Nothobranchius furzeri: one gene and its partners. The protein of the gene in region 1 interacts with the protein of each later gene in a pairwise test. Links are inferred from orthologs where the notes say so. Each region holds a gene or a part of one and is shown in the gene's direction. Other genes may lie near its edges.

What was found.
Region 2: the proteins of zgpat (region 1) and bend5 interact in binary tests that used the Homo sapiens proteins (3 or more experiments, as listed by UniProt). The two-hybrid records come from large-scale screens. The link is inferred for Nothobranchius furzeri from reciprocal best matches to the Homo sapiens genes ZGPAT and BEND5.
Region 3: the proteins of zgpat (region 1) and zbtb8a interact in binary tests that used the Homo sapiens proteins (3 or more experiments, as listed by UniProt). The two-hybrid records come from large-scale screens. The link is inferred for Nothobranchius furzeri from reciprocal best matches to the Homo sapiens genes ZGPAT and ZBTB8A.
Region 4: the proteins of zgpat (region 1) and mipol1 interact in binary tests that used the Homo sapiens proteins (3 or more experiments, as listed by UniProt). The two-hybrid records come from large-scale screens. The link is inferred for Nothobranchius furzeri from reciprocal best matches to the Homo sapiens genes ZGPAT and MIPOL1.

What each region holds. Positions count from the first base shown.
Region 1 is NC_091755.1:51,593,808-51,596,205, reverse strand, and holds the end of zgpat (zinc finger CCCH-type with G patch domain-containing protein), read left to right. Parts: intron 1-660; coding exon 661-1,075; intron 1,076-1,337; coding exon 1,338-1,476; 3' UTR 1,477-1,763; downstream 1,764-2,398. UniProt on the Homo sapiens protein: Transcription repressor that specifically binds the 5'-GGAG[GA]A[GA]A-3' consensus sequence. Represses transcription by recruiting the chromatin multiprotein complex NuRD to target promoters.
Region 2 is NC_091748.1:56,176,931-56,181,107, reverse strand, and holds the start of bend5 (BEN domain-containing protein 5), read left to right. Parts: upstream 1-1,211; 5' UTR 1,212-1,398; coding exon 1,399-1,582; intron 1,583-1,653; exon of another isoform or gene 1,654-1,781; coding exon of another isoform or gene 1,782-1,935; intron 1,936-2,270; exon of another isoform or gene 2,271-2,406; intron 2,407-2,540; coding exon 2,541-2,671; intron 2,672-3,518; coding exon 3,519-3,996; intron 3,997-4,177. UniProt on the Homo sapiens protein: Acts as a transcriptional repressor.
Region 3 is NC_091758.1:35,826,866-35,831,156, reverse strand, and holds the start of zbtb8a (zinc finger and BTB domain-containing protein 8A), read left to right. Parts: upstream 1-1,447; 5' UTR 1,448-1,581; coding exon 1,582-1,733; intron 1,734-4,291. Other genes in the region: gale (UDP-glucose 4-epimerase), read left to right, coding at 21-135, 211-269. UniProt on the Homo sapiens protein: May be involved in transcriptional regulation.
Region 4 is NC_091758.1:16,365,044-16,368,773, forward strand, and holds part of mipol1 (mirror-image polydactyly gene 1 protein), read left to right. Parts: intron 1-1,282; coding exon 1,283-1,388; intron 1,389-1,564; coding exon 1,565-1,670; intron 1,671-3,557; coding exon 3,558-3,684; intron 3,685-3,730.

The sequences.
Region 1 (2,398 bases):
GATTGAGACAGAACATCATGCGTCTGTGACAGTGTGTACTTGTACAGGGGAGATCTCCGTTTGGCTGACTGGTTAGCATGCCTGACTTTCACCTGGGAGTCTGGGGATCGAATCCCGATTGGACCACTTTTTTTTATATCCGCCACAGATCTCTCTGAAGAACTCACAGCATCGACGGCTTCAGCAACGCTGTGCCGCTCCGTGGATTTTCTCTTATTTGTTTTGCAAAAGCACTTCCTTTCATTTCTCCACCTCACCCACAGGTACCTCAGTTTCTGTTTCTGTGAAATTGCGCTTCCTTCATCTGCCTTGATCTACGGTCGCCATCGTCATTGGCGGAGCGCTGCAACAGCCGGCTTATGTACATGCATGAGATCCACAAGGCACTAGTTTGCATTGACCATTTATGGCAGTAAGTGGGCGTGGTGAGGACGGGATGTGACTAAAATGCAGCTGAGAAACTTTCTCGTTAGTCTCCGATTTATGAAGCAGAGATTGCGTGCAGCTGTGTGTACTCCATGTTTGATAGATCACAAACCAACTTGGCGTAAGTACATTTGTTTTTGCTGAGCTTAAGTACGGTTGTAGTAAGGATTCTACGCTATGTTTGATAAATGAGACCCCAGCTCCCTTTTTTCAAAAGCTTGTTCCATTCCACAGGTTTAGGAAAGCTGCAGGAGGGTCGAGTAGAGCCGGTGATGGCGGTGGTGCTACCGAAGGGGAAGTCTCTGGACGAGTGTGCAGAGCTAACACAGAGACGCACTCAGAACAAGGCTGCGAAAGACGGAACACAAGCTTCCCGCCCGAAACGCCGCCGGAAGCCCCGAGTTCCCGGAAAGCGGCAAACTGTGTTTGACTTTTTAAATCACAAGCTTGGAGACAAATGCACAGATCCTGCAGAAGGGGGCGCTGCTGCGCCATCGGCAGCGACGGCGACCGGGGTGGAAGCTTACAGAGCAGGAAGGAACGCCAAGAGGAGCCTGAATGTGAAGCTGTTCCAGGCTGCTGAGAGGGTTGCTCAGACTGAGAGGGAGATCCAGAAACTGAGCGAGTCACTGAGCAGGCAGACGGGCAGGTCGGTCCAGATGTGTCTCACAGCACTTTATCAGTTCTGGTCGAGTTCAGATAGCTTTTATTTCTGATCAGATGTATTTAAAGTAACATGAGAGCGGTAGGAGTTGTGTGAGAATGTAAACAGGATGTGAAAATGTGAGGTGAGATTCTTGTTTCCATAGCTACCAGAAATCCTCTTTACTTGTCACCCCTCTCGTCCTCCTCCTCCTCCTCCTCCTCCTCCTCCTCCTCCTTCATGCCGGGTTTGTTTGTGTTTTGCACAGAGATGCTTCCAGAGTTAAGCAGCTGGAGGAGCAACTGTCAGGGGCTCGCCGCCTGCTGGCCCAGCAGAAAGCACAGGAGCTCTCCATCCAGAGCGAGCACAGGAAGGCCGACACACACAAGAAGATGACCGAGTTCTGATACCCACTTTTTTATTTTAAGACTTCAGAAACAGAAAGGAGGCCTCCTGAAAATAAATGTTGTTTTCACTTCAGTTTTGTGTCCGGATCACTTCTCACCGGCACTTTTCCATCTTTTTTTCTTTCACTTTAAAAAACAAAAGCTTTCTTCTGGCAGAGTTTAAAGCTACAATAATATAAAATAGAAGTTATGAACAATTTTTCTTCACGACTAAAAGTCTTGCTGAACTTGTTGTACTTTTATTTCTAACTTACACAACTTTACAAATAAATCTGGTGCAAAAAAGACTCCGCTTCATTTATTTACTTTTCTACGTTTTCTTTTCACTTTGGCGGGAGTTCTGAGTCATGCTGGCCAGCGGCTCCTCAGGTGCTTAGTGCAGTTTACTCCCAGTATCATAGTGGTTTTAATGTCACATCTCATGTGAATTATATACATCACATCTGTGAAGCTACAACCGTAACCTCTGTTAAATTAAATTCAGAGGTGGAAAGTAACAAGTTACATTTCCTCACGTTACTGTAACTGAGTAGCTTCTTTTGTATTCCATGCTGTAGTTCTTTTTTAAAACACAGAGCAGGTAAACAAAACTGCTCTGTGTTTTAAAAAAGAACTACAGCATGGAATTAGAGATACGACACAGCAAGAACACACCTAAGAAGCTTTTTTTGTATATTTATACTTTTTAAGTCGTTTCTTGAATCTGTACTTTAACTTTAACTTGAGTACGTTTTTAAAAAAAGAATTGCAATTCGCTACATTTGAAATCATATCTGTTACTGAGTAAAAATAAATTGTAGGCTTAATAAATTAAACATATTACGTGTAGCAGTGTCGGAACAGAAAGAGACACCTGCATGAGCGCCGCGTCTAAACCGTGGGGGGTGTGGGTGCATGGACGTGATTTTCACGTGGAGGAGGG
Region 2 (4,177 bases), on another chromosome or scaffold:
CAAATTTACATCACTAAACCGATGAAGAAGAAAAAAATTACTGAGTTTAGTTAGCTTTGCATCCTTCTTCCTGCATGAAATAAGGAGCATTAAACATGGGAAAAAAATGTATCTGGCCATGTAGAAGGTGGCAGCTGTGTTGGGGAGAAAAGATTCTGCAGTGATATCTAAGTCATATGTGCAATGTCTGATTTGTTGTCTTTTTAAGTACATTTTTTTTACAAGCAAATAGATCTCAAATTATGTGACAGACATTGTTGAAACACACATAATTATTTTTCATTTAAATCGAAGTAGGGGATTTGTGTGATTCAGGGTGTAAAGCAAAGCAAACCAGAAAATTACCTTTAATATTATTATATATTTTTTTAAGCTCAGGGGCTCTTGAGCCAACCGGGGAGGAGACTGGGGTTTCCCAATGTCACTTTGTGTTTAGGTTTAAAAATGACAAAGTTGTAAAAGAGTTTAATAGCTAGCTGAAAGGAAATGGGACCAGTTAAAATAAATAGAAAATCAACGTATCAAAATTTAGGGAATATTAATACAAGAATGTTTGTGACTTTATTTTTTTTAACTCTGTTGTTTAGAATATTCACATGACCGATAGTCACATTTCCCAGTCAAATGTTTTTTTTTTATTTACATGTGTATATTATTTTTAAATTAACAGAGAATTAAAACTTAAAGAGGGACTGCACACCATCAGAAAATGTAACTCCACCTCTAGTCAAGATTTGGAAAATGCCATGAAAGTGGGCATTGCCAGGAGGCACAGCGCGGCATGGCCAAGTGTGGGGAATTTCCATCCTAGTTCCATAGGAGGGAGGGTAGTGGGAGGAGACTGTACCAATGACATGAAATTGTTCCAGCCCCAGCCAATCACAAGTTTAAAATGCAGTAGCCGCCATTCTGCCACGGGGGGCAGCACTGAGACGTTTTTAGAGCTAGATTCTAGATTTAATTAAGTTTACACAAACATGTCAAAAATGCACAGAAACAGAGAGATTGTATTTGTAAGGACCCAATTATATGGTTTATAAGCCCAAAAAAGTTATTTTGGGGTTTAGTTACTCTTTAAAAAATAAATAATTAAACTCCCTTTTTTTCCAGGAGTGAATCACATTAAATAATATCTTAAATTAACACTTCTTTGCATAAACATGCATTTGTTATTCATAATGTAAATGTTCGGAGAGAAGTTGCCATGTTAATGTCTGCTTGTGGGTGTCATGTCTATTACTTCTGCCTTGATAATTTACGCTGGTGATGTGGACTAGGCATGAGTAGTCGAGTGCAGACACCATCACCAACCCCCTCATGGGTATATATTTTTTTAATACTTTGTGAGGGAAAAACTGTCAACCATATCCAAAGTGCAGGACCAAAGACAACTAAATAATGTATGCTTTTGTTAGATTCTTTGAAGACGATATATGCTACGCGTTACCCGTTTCAAGTGTCGAAGATTTCAGACCTCTGCACAGAACAGATTTTGATCATCAGAAGGTGTATCTGGTTCACAGAACTGAGGAGAATGGCTGCGCAGGCCAGCCGTGCCAAGCACAGATTCTTGCCCTTGCAGGTAAGTTACCCTCCGGACACTTTGCTTTCATCGTTACCGATTCTAATTTTCTCTGTCAGAGCAGTAACGCTGCTGTTAACTTCACTCAGACAGCTGTCAAAGCAAGTCTTTTCGTTCCGAACAGTCGGGACGCGATCAGCTGGAATTTAACAGCTGAAACAACAGAAACAACAACGTCCTCCGCCGTAGCTAGCAAGACATGCTAAGTTTAGAAGGCTGTCATACTTCGTCAAAGCTGGGTTTAACGCAGTGTGTTGTGCTGGCGGTTATGTGTCCTGGCTCTGAAGTGCAGTGTTCGTGGTTTCATGTAACGCTTGCGAGTCGCAACGATTGTTTACAACATGAAGCTAACGGTACTAGCATGCTATATCCGTTTTTTCATTAGCACGTTAGCTCCGGTGGGGTAACAAACCCGACGCAGAACTGTCCTGACGTTACACAAACGTCTCTGACATACAGGATTTTTAAATATCTTAGTTTGTTTGAGGTTTGAAAATGTTGTATAACTGTTACTCTGACTGTGTCTGTGCGGTTAGCTTGTCTGTGGCTTTGCTGTAGCTCGTTTTACTGTTGCGGTGTTGCAGTTTCCGTGACACTTCCGTGCATAGTTACACAGTAGCCTTCTGGTTTTGCGAAAACCAATGATGATTTGTTAAACTGTGTAGGCGAATGTGTTTGATTTGCTGCTGCTTTGGTATGGACACAAGTTTTTATACTTATACATGGTGATACAGCCCTAACCCTGCGACTCAGTCGTTTGGGCTATGAGACAAATCAGTGGCAGATTGGCTGAAACATGGATTTTAATAGCTTACACCCCTAAGGTTAGTTTGAAGAGGCTGGATGCATGATTAAAATATTAAACTGAACTTATCTGTGATCAGTTGTGTGGATTCTCTTTTATTTTTAAGATGTCTGCACTTTTTGGTACCTAAACTGCCTGTTATTGGATTCACAGATACAGTAGAAGAATTTGAAGACAGCATTACACAAAAAAAGATGAAAATTCCCAAGATGTCCATCAAGTCTTCAGGAAACTCTATTGAGAACCGTTTTGGAGAGGAGAGGATGCCACTCAGGCATAAAAAGGTAACAATGTAAATGAGTTGTTTACAATCATTTAGTGACATTTTTTTATACCAGAGGATATATTGTTTATTACTAACAACAGCACAAATATAAATTATATTATACATTCATTCACAAAGTCTGATTATATTTATTGCATCAAGGCATTCATAAGATAAATTCAAGTGAACCAAATAAGAGTAATATTTCTTTTTGACCATGTATATACTTTAGAAAGAACCCTAATTAGCTTGATCAACATTATGTAATATTTCTGTAGTTAAAGAAGTCATCTTAATTTTGATATGAAATTTGATGCTTTGTTACATTTTCATAAACTTGGCTGACATCCAAAATCCCTTACGCTATTTTTACCATATGCTGGATTAACACACAAATTCAGCACTCTGGACAGCTGCCCTTTCACCAGCAAATCCGCTGAGCGGCTCATCAAAGAACTCGGTGACTCTTTTCGTCCGTGTCTCTGCTGTGATCTGCACAGTCTAAACAAGCTGACTGGAGTCTGTCTGTAATGTCAGCTTTAATCTGATGTGACATCGTTTCATTTAGCTTAGAAGAGTTAAAATAAGTTACATTTTTGGTAAGGTGTTAGGATGAAACTCTCATTCAGCAGCAGATTTTGTTAAATTCTATGAAAGGTTTCCAGAGACTGAAAGTTCTGGATTTTGGGTTGAGATAAAAATCTGAATAAAAAAAATTAGATTGTTTGATATTATTACTACTTATTTGTCTCTCTTTAGTTAGTTCTTTTGTTTCAGGACATTGTAGTTTCTTGATCATTTTGTTGCAGCTCAGTTATCAGGTCAATGGCCTATTTCTACCCTAAAATGACAGTTATTTTCTCCAGGCCCTGTCACACGATCATGGACGCCCCCTCTCCAACTCTTCCAAGAGCCTTGCAGCTGTTGTGGCACGACTAGAGAGGAATGCAGCCAACTCCTGTATGGAGGGTGAAGAGGACCTGGATGAGGATCGGCTGGCTGAAGAAGGAGGGGATGCAGATGACGAAGATGACGATGTGGAGGCAGCACATCGGCGACATCATCACCAGCAACAACAGCAACATTTGGAGATGGACACAGATTGCGTGTCGGAGGTAGCCGCCGCTGTTGTTCCTCGAGTTCTGTACGAGGAGCTGGTTCACAGCTACAGGCAACAGGAGGAGGAGATGAGGCGACTGCAGCAGGAGCTGGAGAGAACCCGTAGGCAGCTAGTGCAGCAGGCCAAGAAGCTGAAAGAGTATGGCAGCTTGCTGACAGAAGTCAAAGAACTGAGGGACTTTAACAGGAGACTGCAAGATGTACTTCTCATGAGATTGGGCAGTGGTAAGAAACCAGAAGCATGCACGCCTCCGCACAAGCCACTCATTTCCTGTCTACAAATCCTTAACTGACTGATAACATTTGACCTTAGTAATCAGCTAAAATTTAAACAGTTTTCTTACTTGTACAGTTAGAAAGCAAAAAGTCAGAGGGGAGAGTGATGTTTACTAAAAGTTACTACATT
Region 3 (4,291 bases), on another chromosome or scaffold:
ATAATTATTTTTCCTTCTAGATCCCTTACAAGATTGCTCCTCGCAGAGGAGGAGACGTAGCTTCCTGCTATGCTGACCCTCAGCTCGCCGAGAAGGAGTTGGGCTGGAAGGCTCAATTTGACTTGGAAAGAATGTGTAAGCTCCTGATGAACCACACGCTTAATAATGCGGGACGACTCCTAGATAATGGCCTGATTTTGTTTCTCGCAGGTGAGGATCTGTGGCGTTGGCAGTCCATGAATCCCACAGGATTCAACAGCACATCTTGATGCAGCTGATTTGTTTCTAAAATGCTGCAAAAAATTTAAAATGATCACTTTTTCAGCATTTTTTTTCCTATAACCCATAAACTTAATCTCAGGCCTTAATATATATTTGCAATCCATTTTCAGTCTGTTTTTGAAATAAACTGCAGCTGAAGAAAATCTTTTCAATGTTTTTGTGCATTAAAATCACAATAATGAAATAATTAATCATAAGTAATCTAAAATGTTGTTTAATTTGGTTTTTAGGTTGTTGTTTTTTTGTTCGTTTTTTGCAGAAGCCAAACTATAGAGTGTATATAAATGGAGATCTGCAGAAATCCGGTGTTAACCTGAGCTCTGGGAACGCTGTGGTGGGTTTTAAAGGGACACTGGGGCTTTAAGTGGCTCCTTGGACCTTCGGGCACCCTGTGCATAAACACCCACGTCAGCACACACAGCTCCAGTCGCTGTGGCCGGGTTTCGGTCTTTAGGGCTGAGCAGGAAGTGCTGGCTGTGGACCCTGGACGCGCGCAGGGTGGGGGGGAGCCGAGCGAAGCGACAGAAAGCACCAGAAAATGGACATGGTGGCAGATTTAGGGGCGAGTCGACTCTACCGGGCGCCGGGTGAATCCAGTCACCAGTGAGTATCGATGGCTTTTCTTTGTGGGGCGTAAGCGGGTCTTGCCGACACCTCTCGCCTGAGATGGAGCCTCTCGGTGCGGGCAGCAGGCTGATCTCGCTGCTCTCCGGACCTCCGGGGAGAAGTGGGGATAAAAAAAACCGGGTGTGCTGCCGCCTCGTTCGTCTAGGCTGATTAAATCAGCGCTGATGTGTTTATTTCAAAGCTCGCCAGCAGCAGGAGGGTCGTGAGGCTGTTTTCTATTGTGTGCTGGCTGAAGCCTGAAGTGGGCGTCGCTCCAGGACAGACGGGGCTGCTCCGGTGCGGCGCTGCCCGCTTTTCTCTCGAAGGACTGCAGCGCTACCGGACTGTTTTCTAGGTCAAACGACTCCTTCAATCGCCGAATTGATCTCCACTAAGATCCCTTCTGGTTTTAAATGCTATTTAATAATAACCGTGGTGCTTCCGGCGGGTGTACCGTGGGTTATTATCGGGCGACGCGGAGCCTGATTCAGATATTTCATATCTAAGCTGCAGAACGGGGAAAGAAAACGAGGCTGCAATATAGCTCGGTGCTGAATAATTTTATTCTTTAAGGAGTCCGGCTGCTGTATTTAATTTCATTTTCTCATCCGGCCAGTCGTGACTAGTTGGACGGCTGGATTTCCCAGCGCGCTTTGAACTCAGCACAGGATTGATTAAAGTGTTTGTCACCCGATGCTCTTCGAGTCGGGCGTTGCACATGAAAAAGATGTTCTGACTGAAGGATTGCTCAGCCAATCACAAATCAGGAAGAAGTTGGGTGGGCGATCAGAACTGGAGGTGTTCCAGTTTAGAGAGACGGTTGTGTCACCCTCAGCTATGCTTAGGTAAGTCCATAGGGTCAGCTGAGTTTGGGAGCGGTTGCTGACTCATCAACACTTGGATCAGTGTGTGAACCACCTTTGTTGTTCGTTTGTTTTAAGGAAACTACATCTCAGAGTGTGTATCTGTTTTCCTCTGCTTGTCCGAGGCCAGCTTTTCTGGGGAAATCCTAAGGTGTTCCCAGGACAGACGGGAAATAAAGTATATTGTGTCCTAGGTCTTTCCTGGTTGAACATATCGTCCAAGAGGCATCCAAACCAGATTCCCACGTTACTTCAATTTGCTCCTCTTGATGTGGAGGAGCAGTGGATCTACCTCAAGCCCCTCCCAGATGACCGAGCTTCCCACCCTGTCTCTAAGTGAGAGCTCAGACGCCCTGCAGATGGAAAACATCAACCCCATTGAACTCTGACTGGCACAATGCCATCCCACAGCAGTGTGTGCCCAAGCTGGTGACCATGTTGTGGCTGTGTCTCCTCCACATGAAACTGAGGCCCCTGTTTGATTTGTTTCCTTATGCTTCAGTCATCAAATCCAAACCACACCAACAAGAGTCGGGAGATTTTGGATGAAACCCACAATCTTAACTCTGTTCAACTTATAAATCTGCTAATGTGGCACCAGGATAAAGATAAAACTGATTTTCCAGCAGTATAATGGTGAAACTTGAAAAATTAGAATATGATGCAAAGTCTATTTCAGTAATCCATCTTAGACTGAGAGACCATCTAAAGGAGAAGAAAATATCATTTCTATAGCGCCTCTCAAGATAGAAATCACGAGGTGCTTCACAAAAACAAAAAATGTAAAAATATAAAGAATTAAGAAAATGTTTAAAATATGTTTAAAATGAGCAAAAAATAGACAAATGTGATTAAAAAATGTAAAGAAAGAGAGAGAGTGAATAGGAAAGAGGGAAATCAGTGGATCCTGAGGAAGGTGGAATAGGTGGGGAGAGCAGAATAAAGAGAGAGTGGTGAAGAAGGTCATCCAAAAGCCAGCTTGAACAAGTGAGTCTTCAGCTGCTTTTTAAAGGAGACCACTGAGTCCACTGATCTCAGGCTCAGGGGGAGAGGTCCAGAGTCTGGGGGCCACAGCAGCATATGTTCTGTCACCTTTGACCTTTAGCCTGGTGCTGCACAACCAGTAGGCTTTGATCACTGGACCTCAGGGACCTGCTGGGGGTGTTTGGACTAAGAAGATCACCAATGTAAGATGGTGCTTGTCCATGTAAGGCTCTATAGACCAGAACCGGGATCTTGAAATGAACCCTGAAGATGACTGGCAGCCAGTGAAGCTGGAGGAGAAGCGGGGTGATGTGGGTGTGTTTGGAGGACCTAGTCAGAAGCCGAGCACAGGCATTCTGAACCACCTGTAGACGGTTCAGGGAGGTTCTGCTCAGACACGTGAAAAGAGAGTTACAGTAGTCTAAGCGTGAGGAGATGAAGGTGTGGAGAACTTTCTCAAGTTCAGAGCGGGACAGAATGGGACTCAGCTTAGCAATGTTCCGGAGATGGAAGAAGGAAGAGCGAACAAGAGAACTGACATGAGAATCCAGGGTGAGAGCTGGGTCAAAGGTCACGCCAAGATTCCTGACAGAAGGTTTGGTGTGGGAAGCAAGCTGACCAAGAGAGTCTCTGACTTTAGGAACCAGCTTGTCTGGGGCACAGATGAGGATCTCAGTCTTATCTTCATTCAGCTGTAGAAAGCTCCCAGCCATCCAGGCTTTGATAGAGTCTAAGCAGGTGTGTAACAGCTGCAGCTTAGACATCTCATGGGGCTTAAAGGAGATGTACAGTTGGATGTCATCTGCATAAAGATGGTAGGAGATTCCTTTGAAGGAGCTCAGGATGTGCTGAAGAGGAAGCAGATAGAGGAGGAAGAGCAGAGGCCCCAGCACAGAACCTTGTGGGACACCATGGGTAAGAGAGGTGGTGGAGGACCTAAACTTGGAGACGGCCACAGAAAAGGAGCGCTCAGAAAGATAAGAGGAGAACCACTCCAGAACAGTTCCTGATTGGCCTACCCAGTCTCTCAGCCTCTCCAGTAGCAGGTGATGGTCAACAGTGTCAAAGGCTGCAGTCAGGTCCAACAGGACCAGAACAGAACAGAACAGTCCCCTGCATCACTGTGAGTCAGAAGGTCATTAGAGACCCTAAGAAGAGCTGTTTCAGTAGAATGAGCTCTACGGAAACCTGACTGGAAGCTATCATAGATGTTCTGTTCATCAAGAGCAGCTGTGAGTTGTTTAGCCACTGTCACATTCTGCTCCTGCCTCCCTGACTGTGTCTCTCCCCTGCCGTTTATTAGTCCCTACTGGTTTCACCTGCCCAGGTGTTCCTGATTTGCCCCTGTGTATTTATACCTCCCTTCTTGTATCAGTCTTGGTCAGATCATTGTTTGTTGTCAGCGTTGTTTTTGTTCTGTCGTTCCCGCTCTGCCATTAAAACTACTTTTATTTCATCCGTGCCTGCATTCCTGCCTCCTGATCTGCTCCACCACACGTGGTCTGCCGTCATCCACACCCTCAACATGACAGCCACAGCCTTTTCCAAGATCTTGG
Region 4 (3,730 bases), on another chromosome or scaffold:
AATGTCCATGTTCTGGACAGAGACGGTGGAATTAGTGTGACTGAGGACGTCCACATCCAAAGACTGCTCAACATGGCAGCTCCTGTTAACAAGATCTGATGGCTTTCTGTAATTTATTTGTTTATTTGAAGTTTTAGTATTTAAAGTGAGAAAACATATTGTGTGCGGATGAAAGGGTTTCCAGAACCCAAAAGAAGTCCAGTTGGCTTCTTTTGATCTTTTTCAGCAGGAGAGAAATCAGCATCTCAGTTCATTTCAGAGCAAAGTCGGTAAGATTTTAATGTTTTAACATTAACAAGAAACAACAAAAACGTGGCTCATCAGAGCCGTGGGTTATTACACAATTAGAGGATCATAATAATGTTCTGAGATGGTAAGCTCTCGTGTGTGTTTTTAAATGATTAATAAGAAATGCTTGGGTCTGTCAGATTTATTAAAAAGTTGACTGCTTTTCGCTGAATCCTCCATCTTTTCGTTGATTCTATAATTCATGTTAATATGTCTCTTCTTTGGATATTTTTCAAATAAAATTGTGGAGGTGCTTCAAAGTACGAAGCACAAGCTGGTAAATTTAGATTTGATTAGTTGCAGTGTTTGATGGCCTGACTGAAATAGAAAGATAGTAAAAGCAGTTGAAGCAGGAAGATGGGGAGGTTGATTAGAAAAAGCTGATATAATAAAGTCAGAAACAGTCAATTATAGAATACGATGTCAGTCATATTTCAGTGCCTTATTTACCTGCTTTATTACGCTAAGAAGCAGCCTGACCTTTATGGTAATATGAGAGAATTACAAGAGAACATCAGTCGGTGCTTATTAAACCTGCTGCCTGCAGCGCTGCACATCACGCCTGATAATGTGAGGCCATCACCTCTTTTTAAAACACCTGACCTGACTACACGCCTGGAGAAATACTAATGAAACACCTGAGACCTGACCCGATGCGGCCCGACTGACCAGCAGCTGATCTGGATTGGCTGCTTTGGGCTGCAGATCGGTCATCGGCATTCACGTGTCATACTTTCACAGCTGCTTTGATCTTCTCTTGGTGGCAGACATGGAGAGAAAATTACAGTCGTCCAGCTAGATGCTTCCTCAAATGGTTTAATGCTACAGGACACACACATATACACTATATATATATATATATATATATATATATATATATATATATATATATATATATACATATACATATATATATATATATGCACACACACACACACATTCTGTATATTTTAATCGCTCATGACATGTCACTCACTGGTTTTGTCTTCTTCAGTTCTCATCAGAGCTCCTCGCCGGCTCGACTGCAGAGTTTTGATCGAGACAAAAACATCTCGTTTTTACTGAAGGAGCTGGATGCTTTGAGAGAACTCAACAACAAAGTAAGGGTCTGGATCAGCTGATGCTCAGCTGTTGTTGTAGGTTTTAAACACAAATACTCCAGAATTAATGAAGTAAAGCTGCTTGTTGTTTAGTAAAATCGTGTATTTGAACAAAATCCACATTTTACATTAACATTAACATTTACATTAACTGTATGTAACTGAATGTTTTTCAGCTTCAGGAGGAGCTGGTTCAGAAGGAGAAGAAGCTGCAGGAAAAGGAGGTCAATGAGGAGCTGAAGGAGGAGCAGAGGGAGGCTCAGCGCTGGGAGAGACCTACATGTAAGGACAGGGGAGCTGGGGAGATGAAAAGCTGGAGGTCTGTTTATTCTGGGCTGTACAATATTAGAGAACGAGATGGAGATGTGGTTGAATGTTGTGTCAGATGTGATCACTCCTCGTCCTCACCCCTCTTTCTGTTTTAGTTGAGGGTATGCGGGGGGGTGGGAGTCAATCAGATGGTTGTGTGGTTAACTCATAGACCCTTAAACTCAGCTCACTTGGAAGATGTCATTCATTTGCCTCTGATTTGTTGTGAAGTACTTTGTGATTCTGATATTGTGGTGATGATAAATGATTAAATGTCCCAGTTTGCACGTTTCAGTCACATCTGATCCAAATGTGAAGGATCACATGTGTCAGTGGTAGCCAGTACTCTTGAGTGTGCATGGTATTACTCAGTGACTGGACTCAGGGCAGGTTGAACATGCGGACGTTGTGTCTTCAGGTCCATCATATCCCTACCTGAGTAGACCTGATCTCAGACTCTTAAGTTCCTCTGCACCACAATACCAGATATAAACTTTGTGTGTCCATAACTTTGAAGGGTCTCCTGACCTTCACTCATCATCAGATGCTCCTCCAACCAACTGGTTGCGCTATCATGCCACTTGTGATTCCACTTCTTATTTTTTCTGAGGCGTGTTTGAGTGACCGCTCCTTGCATTTCAAAGGGTTTCCTTACTCATCACTGGTCATCATCGTGATCCATACACGTCCAGGTCCACCTTGTCCTTACGAGTCTTCAACTTTCCAAATTTTTACAGATGTGTCCAAATCTTTAGAGAACAACCCAAGTGTTGGTCTCCGGTTCTTTATTCAGTGTGTGTAGATCTTTCTGTCAGATGTTTCTATGGTTACTGAAGTCGAATTACATGATTTTTTTTCCTGATCTACTTAATTTCTGACTTCATCAGACTGGTCCAGTGCTCCATCTTACTGGAGAAGACATTGTTCATTACTAAACTGTTGTCTGATAGATGGAGGAGTTTCTCTGGGAGGATGTTTTGGTACCAGTATTTTCTCATGGCTGTCCTGAGGCTAACCTGAGCCTAGCCAGACTCTGACCCGGTCAGCTGGGGTGTTAGCTGTAAAAAGCTGAACAGAAATTAGATTGAATTCATCTTGATAGTTATGATAAAACCGTCGTTTTAACTAATAGAAGATATTTAGGGGCTCACCTGAGAAGTCTTGGATGTTAGTGCTGACCCATAAACACAATGCTCCCGCTTAGCAGAAGAAGGGGATGTGAAAGCAGACAATTTGAATTAACCATTATATTTTAGTAGTCTCCTCCTCCATGCTGTGTAATTGCCGGTTTGAGTAATCCGGATTATTTTCCCAGGAATGAGTGTTGGTGGGGAAGAGTGGCGGTGTGATCTGGGTGGTTTAGATGTGAGCCATGCACGTCCTGCATGCTGCTTCTCCTGGTCTGCAGCTCTGTCGCTCACCTCTCGTCTCGCAAACTCTTTATTCCTCTGGCTTTTTAAATGTGACCTGAGATTTATTTAATTTTTGACCAATTCCGCTCTTCCTTTGGAGTCCTCTGATTGTATTTAGCGCACTAATAATTCATGTGATGTTTTAAATGTTGGAATGAAAACTCTAATTCACTGCTTTTCTCTAATAACGTGGAAATAAAACCAGCTGTGTTTCTGTAACACCAGTGCCTCGCCATGGGTCTCAGATGAGCTGCCATCATTTCTGTGTTATTACTTGTGGAACACACTCTGTGTGTAGTAATAATGATCTCTGCTCTGATTGGCTGGTCAGTTGGAGGTGAAACTTATTGGATTCCTTCTCTCCTCACCTCCTTTCCTTGTCTCCTTCTCTCTCGATCCTTTCTTTTTCTTTATGTTTCACCTTCTCCTTTTCTTCTCTTCCTCTCAGTGATGTTGGAGGAGGTGCTGGCAGCTCAAAAGAACAGAGATCAGGCTCTGATGTCACGACTCCTGCTGGCCAATCAGGAGAGAGACGAGGCTTTGCTTCACGCCCGCCAACTGCAGCAAACGGCCCAGTATGATTTTATTCTGTGTTGTTCAGTTTGGTTATAAAGTTAATAG